2 linked regions of the Stegostoma tigrinum genome follow. The protein of the gene in region 1 interacts with the protein of each later gene in a pairwise test. Links are inferred from orthologs where the notes say so. Each region holds a gene or a part of one and is shown on either strand. Other genes may lie near its edges.

What was found.
Region 2: the proteins of 5'-AMP-activated protein kinase subunit beta-2-like (region 1) and glycogen phosphorylase, muscle form interact in binary tests that used the Homo sapiens proteins (3 or more experiments, as listed by UniProt). The link is inferred for Stegostoma tigrinum from reciprocal best matches to the Homo sapiens genes PRKAB2 and PYGM.

What each region holds. Positions count from the first base shown.
Region 1 is NC_081361.1:47,764,334-47,771,503, forward strand, and holds the start of 5'-AMP-activated protein kinase subunit beta-2-like, read right to left. Parts: upstream 3,051-7,170; 5' UTR 2,301-3,050; intron 1-2,300. Other genes in the region: scyl3 (protein-associating with the carboxyl-terminal domain of ezrin), read left to right, coding at 3,184-3,348. UniProt on the Homo sapiens protein: Non-catalytic subunit of AMP-activated protein kinase (AMPK), an energy sensor protein kinase that plays a key role in regulating cellular energy metabolism.
Region 2 is NC_081395.1:11,084,730-11,092,015, reverse strand, and holds the start of glycogen phosphorylase, muscle form, read left to right. Parts: upstream 1-4,177; 5' UTR 4,178-4,413; coding exon 4,414-4,656; intron 4,657-7,286. UniProt on the Homo sapiens protein: Allosteric enzyme that catalyzes the rate-limiting step in glycogen catabolism, the phosphorolytic cleavage of glycogen to produce glucose-1-phosphate, and plays a central role in maintaining cellular and organismal glucose homeostasis.

The DNA of each region.
Region 1 (7,170 bases):
ACTGTGGGAAGGCAGAGGTTTGGGAAACCTTTAAAACCTGCAGAGGATGACTATAAAAGCAAATGAAAGGAGAAAATGAAATTTGAGGTTAAGCTATCAAGTAGGATAAAATAATAAGAGAAACAAGAGTGGACATTGGATTACCAACAAATGTGGCTGGAGAAGTAGTAATGTGGAACAAAGAAAAGTAATAGGAATTAATTAGATATTTTGCATCAGCGTTCATGATGCAAGACATGGGTAGCATACCAGAACTTCAAGAGAGTCTACTGAGGTGAGAGTAGTGGCCAACTCTAAGGAGGTGTTGGAGAAGCTGAAAGGTCTGAAGATGTATAAATCTCCTGGACCGGATGGACTACACCCCAAAGTCATGAAGGATATTGTGAAGGTATTGCTGGTGATCTTTCAGGAATCACTGGAATCAGGGAGGGTCCCAGAGGATTGGAGAATGGCTAATGGAACATGCCTGTTTAAGAAGGGAGGGATGTAGAAGATAGGAAATTATAGGCTAGTTAGCCTGACTACAGACTTTGTTAAGATTTTACAGCATTTTTAAAAATGAGTTTGTGGAGTACTTGGAAGTGCATGGGTAAAAGAAGTTAGACAAAGGAGAGCCAGTGGATATGATCTGTTTGAATTTCCAAAAGATCTTTGACAAGGTGCTGCACAGGAGACTGCTAAATAAGAGCCTGTAGTGTTAGGGACAAGGTACTGATGTGGATAAAAGACTAACTGACTGGCAGAAAGCAAGATAAAGGAGTCTTTTTCAATATGGCATTCAGTGATTGGTGGATTCTGCAGGGATCAGTGTTGTGACCACAACTTTTCAAGTTATACATTAATGATCTAGATGAAGAAACTGAGGGCATTGTTGGTATGTTTGCCAATGATGCAAAGATAGGTGGAGGGACAGGTAGTGTTGAGGATGTGGGGTGGCTGCATAAGGACTTGGGCAAGACAGGAGAGTGTATTCCATCTGCCACTTCTTTTCTCAATGTGGGGAAAGTGAGAGGTTATACACTTTGGTAAGAAGAATAGGGACTATTTTCTAAATGGGAAAAGCCTTCAGGAATCTGAAGCACAAAAAGACTTAGGCTTCCTAGTTCAGGATTCTTCTAAGGTTAACAGTTCAGTTTGAAGGATGTCTGGCCTTGCAGGGGATCCAAAAGAGGTTTACAAAAATGATCCAGGTGTGAAGGGCTTGTTTTTGAGGTGGAGTTGAGGATTCTGGGTCTGTATTCCATGGAGTGTGGAAGGAAATGAGGAGCGTATCTCATCAAAACTTACAAAATTCTGAGAGGCCTGGATACAGTGGATGTGGAGATATTTCCACCGATAGGAGAGACTAGGACCTGAGAAAACAACCTCAAACTGAAGGGTCAAATTGTTTGAACTAAGATGAGGAGGAATTCCTTCAGCCAGAGGGTGGTGAATTCATGCAACACGTTGCAGTAGAAGGCTGTAGAGACCAAGTCATTGAGCGTATTTACGACAGGGATAGATAGGCTCTTGATTAGTGAGGGGATTGAGAGTTTGGGGAAGGCAGGAGAATGGAGTTGAGAAACATATCATGTACTGAATGGTGGAGCAAAAGCAATGGGCCGAATGGCCTAATTTTGCTTCAATGTCTTATCTTCTGTGCTTAAGATTTTGTCCATTACCCGGGAGTGAATACATTACTTCAAAGCCCTATTTGTGATTGTAGACCCCTTGTTGAGAAATTGAACTCTATTTATGCAATTTCATTTTTTATTCCTTTTGTAGTCTGGAGGCTAAGTGCTGGGGCAGAATGTGGTGAAAAGGCAGTAGTTTAGAATATTTTATTCCTATGAGTTTGCATTTTTCCAATTTATTCCTAAGAATCTGTGCCTAGGTACCAAGACACCTAAGATGGCACCGCCAAGTGCAGTATATGTAACAATAAAGCTAATTCTAATTCTGTGTAAGGTAGTAAACATGATAATTGATCAGGCTAATATTGAGCATTTGAACTTATTAGTCAAACTCCCACAGTATTACACTTGGACAATCAAGGGAAAAAGTATTCTTCAGGAAAAGCAGTTTGTTTACTTTTACATTTTGCCACTTTAAACTCCAATGTTTACAGTAACAATTGAACTATCCAATCTAAATTTGCATTACTGTATTTACAGTCTCATGAATGATTTTTGGTAGTATCCTAGATTATGAAGAAATTTGTTAGGATATTGTTAATTTGTGCTACAAATATGCATTTGTTTTCCCTCTGACCCTCAGATGACCAAAACAGTCTTGTAAAACATTGGAATCCTGTGACTTACCCAGAACTGTCAATATGAAAAATATCGTTATTAAGGTGACCTTTAAGGTGCACCGTCTGTTGCCAGATATTGACAAATGGCCACTGGTCCCAAATACAGGTTTACACCTGAGTAGCTTAAAAACCTTTAGTGTTGGAAATCTTCTTCGACATTGTCAAGTCTTTCCCTTTTTCAGATTTTTATTTCATTTCAGATAAATGATCCTTTGAACTTTTATCCTTAAAGTTCCAAATGAACTATCCTAAACGACTTCATTGTTTTTCCCTTTCCCTGCCGTTTGAAATTAGGATTTATTGCACAATTTACGTATAGTCGCTCAAGGAATTCAAACAACTGATTACACCGTGTTCACTTCGATCTACCGTCTGGAGATGTCTACATCTCCACGTTGCATGAATCAAAGACTGTGTAAATGGTTTAAGCAGTCTTCTCTTAAACCTTGATAGATCGGCCTGAGCATATTCTCAGGGGTTTTCTCAATGAGGAAGAAAGGGAGATGAACAGAAAATGAGTGCGATGTCGAGGAAGCCTCATTCTGAAGAAGGGTCATCGGACCGGTTAACTCCACTTTTTCTCTCCATAGATGCTGCCAGACCTGCTGAGTTTCTCCAGCAGCTTTTGTATCAGATTTCCAGCATCCGCAGTTCTTTGTTTTAAGGAGCCATCGTTGACGGGGTTTTAATACCAAACTCCCATCCTGAGAGAACAACTGGCCGTTAACACCAACGTCTCAGCTTCTCTTCCGGCGCACTCGCCTCAGACTGCGCATGCGGGCGGGGTGTAACCTGTGTTTCCGGGTCAGCCGGATGTGTTGGGATCACCAGTTCTTTGGAGGTCCTTGTCCGAGTCCGCAGTGGATTCGGTCCCTCCGCTTTTTCAGGATATGGGCGCAGAGAGCAGTGCGGCCCGGAGTTGCCGGCTCGAAGAGCCGCCGGTCACTCTGCCCGCCGGTCTCAGCGTCTATCGGGCGGTTCTGGAGGAAGAGCGGCTGGTGTCCGTGTTCATCTATCAGCGGGGCAACGAGGAGGCCGTCAACAAGGCAGCCAAGGTAGAGTGGCCCTAGGCGGCTTCTACCGCCCTGAGGGTGGGATGTGTGAGTAAGGATGTTTCTGCCCCAGCCCCAGCCTCTACCCTTACCCCAAAGTTTGGGATTGATTCCGCCCCGACCGTGGGAGGTCGGTGGGCAAGTGGTTCGATGCTGCCCCTCCACCTGTCCTGAGAGTTATGTTTTGGAGGGGGTGTGTCTTGCCCCTCGTGGAGGAGTAGGCTGAGAAAGACTCTACACTTGAAGTCAGAGATGTACAGCACGGCAATAGACCCTTTGGTTCAATTCATCCACGCCAACCAAATATCTTAAATTGATAGAGTACCGTTTGCCAGCATTTAGCCCATTTCCCTCTAAACCCATCATGTTCATATACTCATGCAGATGTCTTTCAAATGCTATAATTGTACCAGCCTGAACCATTCTAATCATACTTAATCCTTCCTTTGTGATCGCTAGGTCTTTTGCTGAGATATTTGCATCATCAGTAGCCACAGGTGACATGCTGAAAGACCCAATGGTTGGCTAACGTGATGCCATTATTTAGGAAAGGGGTTAAGGAAAAGCCAGGGAAATGTAGACTGGTGTGTCTGACATCAGTGATGGGCAAGTCTTCAGAGGTGATTCTGAGGGACAAAATTTACATGGATGAGGAAAGGTAAGGACTGATTAGACATAGTAAACATGGCTCTGTTCATGGGAAATCGTGTCTAACTAACTTGATTAAATTTTTGGAGAAGTGACAAAGAGGACTGATGGCAAAATGGCTTTTTTTCTATGTGGACTTCATTAAGGCCTCTGACAAGGAGCTGCATGGTAGACTGAGCAATAAGGTTAGATCACATGGAATACAGGGAGAATTAGCCATTTGGATACAGAACTGACTTGAAGGCAGGAGACAATGTGGTGGTGCTTTTTGGACTGGAGGCTTGTGACCAGCAGTGTGCTGCAAGGACTGATAGTGTGTCCACTGTTTTTTGTTATTTACATAAATGATTTGGATGTGCAGATAGGAGATATGGTTAGTTAGTTTGCAAATGACACCAAAGTTGGTGGTGTTGAGTACAGCAAAGAAGGTTGCCCCCATAGTACAATGGCACCTTAATCAGATGGGCTAAGGAGTGGCAGATGAAGTTTAACTTAGGTAAATGGGAGGTGCTGCATTTTGGTACGGCAAATCAGGGTGGGATTTATAAGGTCCTGGAGAGTCTTGATGAACAAAGAGACCTTGAAGTGCTGTTTCATAGTTCCTTGAAAGAGAAGTTACAGGTAGACAGGATAGTGGAAGAAAACATTTAGTAAGCTTGCTTTTATTGTTCATTGCATTGAGTTTAGGAGTTGGGAGATGATGCTTTGGCTATAAAGGACCTTGGTTAGGCCACTTTTGGAAGACTGCATTCAGTTCTAGTCTAGGATAATGAAGTGTGAAGCTGGATGAACACAGCAGGCCAAGCAGCATCTCAGGAGCACAAAAGCTGATGTTTCAGGCCTAGACCCTTCATCAGAGAGGGGGATGGGGTGAGGGTTCTGGAATAAATAGAGAGAGGGGGTGGCGGACCAAAGATGGAGAGAAAAGATGATAGGTGGAGAGGTAGGGAGGGGATAGGTCAGTCCAGGGAAGACGGACAGGTCGAGGAGGTGGGATGAGGCTGATAGGTAGGAAATGGAGGTGCGGCTTGGGGTGGGAGGAAGGGATGGTTGAGAGGAAGAACAGGTTAGGGAGGCAGAGACAGGCTGGGCTGGTTTTGGGATGCAGTGGGTGGAGGGGATGAGCTGGGCTGGGTGTGTGATACAGTGGGGGAAGGGGAGATTTTGAAGCTGAAGTCCACATTGATACCATTGGGCTGCAGGGTTCCCAAGCAGAATATGAGTTGCTGTTCCTGCAACCTTCGGGTGGCATCATTGTGGCACTGCAGGAGGCCCATGTTGGACATGTCGTCTGAGGAATGGGAGGGGGAGTTGAAATGGTTAGCGACTGGGAGGTGCAGTTGTTTATTGCGAACCGAGCGGAGGTGTTCTGCAAAGCAGTCCCCAAGCCTCCGCTTGGTTTCCCCAATGTAGAGGAAGCCACACCGTGTACAATAGATACAGTATACCACATTGGCAGATGTGCAGGTGAACCTCTGCTTAATATGGAAAGACCGCAACTTTCCCCCCACAGTGGTCGAGAACGCCCTTGACCGCGTCTCCCGCATTTCCCGCAACACATCCCTCACACCCCGCCCCCGTCACAACCGCCCAAAGAGGATCCCCCTCGTTCTCACACACCACCCCACCAACCTCCGGATACAACGCATCATCCTCTGACACTTCCGCCATCTACAATCCGACCCCACCACCCAAGACATTTTTCCATCCCCACCCTTGTCTCCTTTCCGGAGAGACCACTCTCTCCGTGACTCCCTTGTTCGCTCCACACTGCCCTCCAACCCCACCACACCCGGCACCTTCCCCTGCAACCGCAGGAAGTGCTACACTCACCCCCACACCTCCTCCCTCACCCCCACACCTCCTCCCTCACCCCCACACCTCCTCCCTCACCCCCACACCTCCTCCCTCACCCCCACACCTCCTCCCTCACCCCCACACCACCTCCCTCACCCCCACACCACCTCCCTCACCCCCACACCTCCTCCCTCACCCCCACACCTCCTCCCTCACCCCCACACCTCCTCCCTCACCCCCACACCTCCTCCCTCACCCCCACACCTCCTCCCTCACCCCCACACCTCCTCCCTCACCCCCACACCTCCTCCCTCACCCCCACACCTCCTCCCTCACCCCCACACCTCCTCCCTCACCCCCACACCTCCTCCCTCACCCCCACACCTCCTCCCTCACCCCCACACCTCCTCCCTCACCCCCACACCTCCTCCCTCACCCCCACACCTCCTCCCTCACCCCCACACCTCCTCCCTCACCCCCACACCTCCTCCCTCACCCCCACACCTCCTCCCTCACCCCCATCCCAGGCCCCAAGATGACTTTCCATATTAAGCAGAGGTTCACCTGCACATCTGCCAATGTGGTATACTGCATCCATTGTACCCGCTGTGGCTTCCTCTACATTGGGGAAACCAAGCAGAGGCTTGGGGACCGCTTTGCAGAACACCTCTGCTCGGTTCGCAATAAACAACTGCACCTCCCAGTCGCTAACCATTTCAACTCCCCCCTCCCATTCTTTAGATGACATGTCCATCATGGGGCTCCTGCAGTGTCACAATGATGCCACCCGAGGGTTGCAGGAACAGCAACTCATATTCCGCTTGGGAACCCTGCAGCCCAATGGTATCAATGTGGACTTCACCAGCTTCAAAATCTCCCCTTCCCCCACAGCATCGCAAAACCAGCCCAGCCTGTCTCTGCCTCCCTAACCTGTTCTTCCTCTCACTCATCCCTTCCTCCCACCTCAAGCCGCACCTCCATTTCCTACCTATCAGCCTCATCCCACCTCCTTGACCTGTCCGTCTTCCCTGGACTGACCAATCCCCTCCCTACCTCCCCACCAATACTCTCCTCTCCACCTATCATCTTTTCTCTCCATCTTTGGTCTGCCTCCCCCCCCCCCCCCCTCCCTATTTATTCCAGAACCCTCACCCCATCCCCCTCTCTGATGAAGGGTGTAGGCCCGAAACTTCAGCTTTTGTGCTCCTGAGATGCTGCTTGGCCTGCTGTGTTCATCCAGGTTCACACTTTATTATCCTGGATTCTCCAGTGTCTGCAGTTCCCATTATCTCTGATTCAGTTCTAGTCTCCTTGCTATAGGAAGGATACTGTTAAACTTGAAAGGGTTCAAAAATAATTTACAAGGATGTTCCCAGGGCT
Region 2 (7,286 bases), on another chromosome or scaffold:
GGAAGGGTCCGGCCTGAGCCCACATGTGACTCCAGACCCGCAGTGTGGCCTTGACTCTTAATTGCCCTTGGAGCAAGCCACTCAGTTCAAGGTGTTACTAGGAATTTATGGTAAATGCTGGGCTCAGTCAGTGATGCCAATATCCCAGGAAGAATGATAAATAATACAGAATCCTGGGAAAAAGAGACTCATGGAATCTCCACAGGGAGGAAGCAGGCCATTCCGGCCCATCGAGTCTACACTGACTGTCCAAAGACCATCCCACCTCTTGCCTTACCTGTAATCCTGCAATTCCCACGGCCAATCCACCCTAACCTGCACATCCCTGGGCACTACGGGACATTTAGCACGGCCAATCCACCCTAACCTGCACATCCCTGTGCACTGTGGGACAATTTAGCACAGCCAATCCACCCTAACCCGCACATCCCTGGGCACTATGGGGCAAGTTAGCACGGCCAATCCACCCAAACCCGCACATCCCTGGGCACTATGGGACAATTTAGCACGGCCAATCCACCCTAACCCGCACATCCCTGGGCACTATGGGACAATTTAGCACGGCCAATCCACCCTAACCTGCACATCCCTGGACACTATGGGACAATTTAGCACGGCCAATCCACCCTAACCTACACATCCCTGGACACTATGGGACAATTTAGCACGGCCAATCCACCCTAACCTGCACATCCCTGGGCACTATGGGACAATTTAGCACGGCCAATCCACCCTAACCTACACATCCCTAGGCACTATGGGACAATTTAGCACGGCCAATCCACCCTAACCTGCACATCCCTGGGCACTATGGAACAATTTAGCACGGCCAATCCACCCTAACCTGCACATCCCTGGGCACTATGGGACAATTTAGCACGGCCAATCCGCCCTAACCTGCACATCCCTGGGCACTATAGAACAATTTAGCACGGCCAATCCACACTAACCTGCACATCCCTGGGCACTATGGAACAATTTAGCACGGCCAATCCACCCTAACCTGTACATCCCTGTGCACTATGGGACAATTTAGCACGGCCAACCCACCCTAACCTGCTCATCCCTGGGCACGATTGGACAGTTTAGCACGGCCAATCCACCCTAACCCGCACATCCCTGGACACTATGGGACAATTTAGCACGGCCAATCCACCCTAACCTGTACATCCCTGTGCACTATGGGACAATTTAGCACGGCCAACCCACCCTAACCTGCTCATCCCTGGGCACTATGGGACAATTTAGCACGGCCAATCCACCCTAACCCGCACATCCCTGGGCACTACGGGACAATTTAGCACGGCCAATCCACCCTAACCCGCACATCCCTGGGCACTATGGGACAATTTAGCACGGCCAATCCCTCCCTAACCTGCACATCCCTGGGCACTATGGGACAATTTAGCACGGCCAATCCACCCTAACCCGCACATCCCCGGGCACTATGGGACAATTTAGCACGGCCAATCCACCCTAACCCGCACATCCCTGGGCACTATGGGACAATTTAGCACGGCCAATCCACCCTAACCCGCACATCCCTGGGACACTATGGGACAATTTAGCACGGCCAATCCACCCTAACCCGCACATCCCTGGGCACTGTGGGACAATTTAACACGGCTAATCCACCCTAACCTGCACATCCGTGGGCACTATGGGACAATTTAGCACGGCCAATCCACCCTAACCCGCACATCCCTGGGACACTATGGGACAATTTAGCACGGCCAATCCACCCTAACCCGCACATCCCTGGGCACTATGGGACAATTTAACACGGCCAATCCACCCTAACCTGCACATCCGTGGGCACTATGGGACAATTTAGCATGGCCAATCCACCCTAACCTGCACATCTTTGGACTGTGGGAGGAAACCGGAGCACCCGGAGGAAACCCACACAGACACGGGGAGAATGTGCAAACTCCACACAGACAGTCACCCAAGGGTGGGATCGAACCCGGGTCCCTGGCGCCGTGAGGCAGCAGAGAGCCTGTCCAGCATTGACCCTCAGAAGTCTGTGCCCACTGGAAAGGGATTCAAGGGAATCTAGTTTAGGTGAGGACCAGGAACCCAGACGTAGGGTGGTGTGAAAGGGTAGGGGAGGTTATTGACAGCAGTTGGCACTAAGAACTTAATAATATCAGTCCAAGCTAGGCAGCAGGAGGTGACGTGGGACCGTTAGTATTTGAGGGCAATTAAGCTGATGGGGCTGGCGGTGGAGCTCATGAGTGAAAAATCCCAAGCAAATTCTTTCAGAACAGCACCAAGGCAGTGCCCTCCCGCCCACAATGCTGCTCTGAATATCAGGTTCAATTTCTTGCTGAGTGTTTTGAGTCATTTCCTCTCACCTCCTCCACCCCACACTGACACTTCCCTCCAATTCAGGAGCAGTTAAATTTTGGCACCGCAAAGCAGGGCAGGACTTATACACTTAATGGTGAGGTCCTGGGGAGTGTCGCCAAACACCGAGACCTTGGAGTGCAGGTTCCTAGCTCCTTGAAAGTGGAGTTGCAGGTAGACAGGGCGGTGAAGAAGAAGGTGTTTGGGACGCTGGCCTTTATTGGTCAGTGCATTGAGTGTAGGAGCTGGGAGGGTCATGTTGCGGCTGTACAGGACATTGGTTAGGGCCACTTTTGGAATACTGTGTTCAATTCTGGTCTCCCTGCTACAGGAAGGATGTTGTGAAACTTGAAAAGGTTCAGAAAAGCATGAGGGGCATGGATAGGGTGAATAGCCAAGGTCTTTTTCCCCAGGGTAGGGGAGTCCACAACTAGAGGGGCATAGGTTTGAGGTGAGAGGGGGACAGGTTTAAAAGGGACCTAAAGGGCAACTTTTTCACACTGAGGGTGGTGCGTGTATGGAATGAGCTGCCAGAGGAAGTGGTGGGGGCTGGTACAATTACAACATTTAAAAGGCATCTGGATGGAGACATGAACTGGAAGGGTTTACAGGGATATGGGCCCAAATGCTGGCAAGATGGGACTGGATTAATTTAGGATATCTGGTTGGCATGGACGAGTTGGACCAAAGGGTCTGTGTCTGGGCTGCACATCTCTATGACACCATGACTGTAAGGGTATTTTTCTCCTGACTGGGCATCTGAGAAGCCAGAAATAAACTGGAGATTTGATCGTTGCTGTCATACAAAATATCTCCAGTTCATACATCTTCATTGATCAGTGACAACTCCCTCTACAAGGAGTCCCCTGTCAGCAGAACACTGAGATGCACCTGATTAAATAAAGGTGCAGGGTCCCTGCCCCAACCCCCTGTGACCTTAGCTGAAACCAGCCATCCCTCCTTCCCTGCTTCGCACACCCTGTATGGACTGCAGCAGTTCAAGAAGCCGGTTCGTCACCACCTTCTCCAGTGCAAATGGAGCCAGGCAATAAATGCCAACAAACCCCCAGACAAGTGAAGCACAATCCAGAATATCCCCTAAATATTTAGGCAATTATTTGACTTTGCAAAGGTTTATTTTTCCCATTGCATTTCTTTCCTCTCGCTCTGGCTCAGTCTGCATAAAATGTGCAGGCTGGTGTATTTTTTTACTTTGCAAAGGATATCTTCAGACATTGTGAACCTGTGACATTTGGGGCTATTTGATGGGAAGGGAAGGGTCTTGAAATAGCATCGTGCTTTAACGCAGGAGTGCCTCGGCTTGAGTTGCAGCCCAAGAGGAGGAGGAACGTGAGACCGGGCACGATCCTCCTGGGGCTCTGGACTCATCTGTCAATCAAGGCTCAGGGCCGGTGGGCGTGAGCCCGCCGGGAAGTGTAGTCTGCTTGTTTCGGAACGGTCGTAGAGAAGAGGTGGGAACTGGAACAGGGTGGACTACAAATCCCAGAAATCCCAGAGTGGCTTGTTCCAGCAAGGCGGCCGATGCGACGGCCAGGCTGTGGGCGGACGTGCGCAGGCGCATTACCGGCCGTCGTAGTCCCTCTCATTTTGAGACATAAACTAGAACGACGGGAAGAATGGGGGGCGAAGGACTACATACCCCGTCGTGCCTTGCGGGTCCACCGTCGCCGCGTAGGGTTGGAGGAAAGTGGAGGGGCGGAGACGAGGCGTGAAGGGGGTGGGGCACGGTCTATGCAGATAAGGGGGGGCGGGGATACATGTTAAGGAGGCTTGGCGCATCAGGGGACGGGATATGTAAAACAAAGGGGCGTGTCCATGCAAATGACGCCATGTGTTTAACGAAGGGGGTTCGGGAATGCTAATGCATATGGATGGCCGGGATGTACATATTGATGAAGCGGGCCGTTGAATATTGATGAGTCGCGCGCTGAGCGGCTGGCGGGAGGAGACTAACAGTCGGTTAAAAGGCGGTGACAGAGGGGTGTTGGGGGGTGGGGGCTGAGGGACAGACAGAGACACACACACACACACACACACAGCATCATGTCCCGGCCGCAGACCGACGTGGAGAGGAGGAAGCAGATCAGTGTGAGGGGCCTGGCCGGCGTGGAGAATGTCGCCGACCTGAAGAAGAACTTCAACCGGCACCTGCACTTCACGCTGGTGAAGGACCGCAATGTGGCGACCCCCCGCGACTACTACCTGGCGCTGGCCCACACCGTCCGGGACCACCTCGTCGGCCGCTGGATCCGCACCCAGCAGTACTACTATGAGAAGGACCCCAAGGTCAGCGGGGGCAGCGGGAGCGCGGGGGGCTGGGAGGGAGAGGACACCCGGGATGGGAGGTACGGGGTAATGGGAGGGGGATGATCCAGGGGATGGGGGGAGGAGGAGGAGGAGGATACAGGGGATGGGGGAGGAGGAGGAGGATACAGGGGATGGGGGAGGAGGAGGATACAGGGGGATGGGAGGAGGAGGAGGATACAGGGGATGGGGGAGGAGGAGGATACAGGGGATGGGGGAGGAGGAGGATACAGGGGATGGGGGAGGAGGAGGATACAGGGGATGGGGGGAGGAGGAGGAGGAGGATACAGGGGATGGGAGGAGGAGGATACAGGGGATGGGAGGAGGATACAGGGGTTGGGAGGAGGATACAGGGGATGAGGGGAGGATACAGGGGTTGGGAGGAGGATACAGGGGATGAGGGGAGGAGGAGGATACAGGGGGTGTGAGGAGGAGGATACAGGGGATGTGAGGAGGAGGAGGAGGGGGGGTTAATGGAAGGAAGGAGTGATCTGGCGTGGCTATAGAGGATACAGAGGAGGTGGATATGGAGGAGTATGGAAGAGACGATACTGAGAGGATATGGAGGAAGGGGGAGATGCAAAAGGGGGATATGGAATGGGAGGCAGGCAATGTGGAAGGGGTATATGGAGGAAGAGGGGGATTCAGAGGGAGAAGGGGGATATGAGGAGAGGAGGGGGAGGGGGATAGAGGATGGAGGCTGGGAATGGGGGATACAGAGGGGGTGGAGTGGAGAACATGGATATGGAAGGGGAGAAGGGTATGACGGGTCTGATATAGGGACATGAAATGGAAGAGGGTATCGATGGGAGGAGGTGGTGGGGAAGGGGGTATAGAAGAGCAGAGGTGTAGTGTGATGGGAGTTAGGCGTATGTGACAGTGGGTGAGGGTTCCTGGAATGGGAAGAAACAGGGCTTCTGTGCCTAGCAATACTATTTTTTTTGCTATTCATTTGTGGGATGTGGGTGTCGCTGCCTGGCCCAGCATTTGTTGCCTATCCCTAGTTGCCCTTAAGGTGGCGGTGAGCTGCCTTCTTGTTATGAAAGGACCCCAAGGTCACTGTTAGGGCAGAGATGGAGGAAGGTACATGATAGATATACAGTAAGCAGCACTATTATGAGAATGACTTTTGGAATACCGAAATACAAGGAGTGCTTAAATTCTGTTGGAGTTGGACTGAAAGGTCTGGTTCTGTGTTGTACATTTGACTCTATGACCCCATGGTGAGGAGATACCTGGGAGGGGTGAGAGCATGATGGTGGGAGGGGCAGTACAGAATGTTTTGGAGGACTCTGAAGACATTACAAGAAAGATCCCCCCTCCTTTCTGGGTATAGGGGAGCAGGGGGGGGTGGTCTGCAGTTAGCAATGCTATTATGAGACTGACTTCAAGTTTGGGGGGTAGCTGGGTGGGGGTTTGGTCGTGAGAGGGAGAACTGAGGTTATAGGGGTCTTTGAACAGCCAGACCAGTGTAGAATGATCCAAAGATGAGGAGGCACACGGCGAGGAATCTAGTACTGGGCCAGGTGGATCCACAGGTGGCAGTGTGTTATTGTGAGGAGTAAATGACACACAGGTAGGGGGCATTGGGGGAAGAGGTTACACACCTGACAGCACAGGTGAGGACTGATGGTCACTGTAGGGCGGTGTGATTGGTATGGTGATGGCGGGGTGGGAAAGCAGGCATTGGGTGATGGGCACTGGAGGGTAAATTCTGAACCTGCATGGTGGGGGTAGAATTCAATGCTGGGTACTGAAGAGGGAGGAGCTGGGTGGGTGATGAGTGTCGGTGTTATAGCATGGACACTGAGTTATGGGAGGAGAGAAATGAATGAAGGCGGGAGAACGTTAGGTGATGGATGAGACCCAGTCAAGAATGCAGGCCATGGGGGTAGTGATGACATTGCGTAATGTGGGCCTGATATGTCAGTGGGAGCTCTGCACAGAGAGTCATGCCAAATAGTGAGACCTGGAAGCTGGTGCCCAGGCACTAGCAATGTGCAGTGGAACCTGCATTCGAGGTCTTGAGATACCAAGAACTTCAGCGATGATGCCACGGTCAGTCACAAAATAATTGGGGCGAAGAATTACTTCTACCAATTGCTGAGGACAAACCTGTTATTATGTAACACTGGCGTATAGCCTGGATTGTGGCAGGGCTGCCACTGTATTACAATAGAGCCAATATTGGTGGGGATCGGGCTGCCCTATTACACTGGTAGTTGTCATTTGTGCCACAGAAACACCAGGCAATAACCAACTCCAATAAAAGACAATTTAACCATCACCCCTTGATATTCAAGGAGTTACCATTGACTGGAAAATCAACTTGAATTGCCGCATAAACACAGCAGCTACAAGGCGAAATCAGAAGCTAGGAATAGTGTGACGTGTAACTCCCCTCCTGATTCCTCAAAGCTGGTTCACGATCAGGCACAAGTCAGGAGTGTGAGGGAATATTCCCCACTTGCCCCTGGATGGGGGCAGTTCCAACAACGCTCAAGAAGCTTGACGCCATCCAGGACAGTGCAGCCTTTCTGATGAAGGGTCTAGGCCCGAAATGTCAGCTTTAGTGCTCCTAAGCTGCCTGCTGTGTTCATCCAGCTCCATAC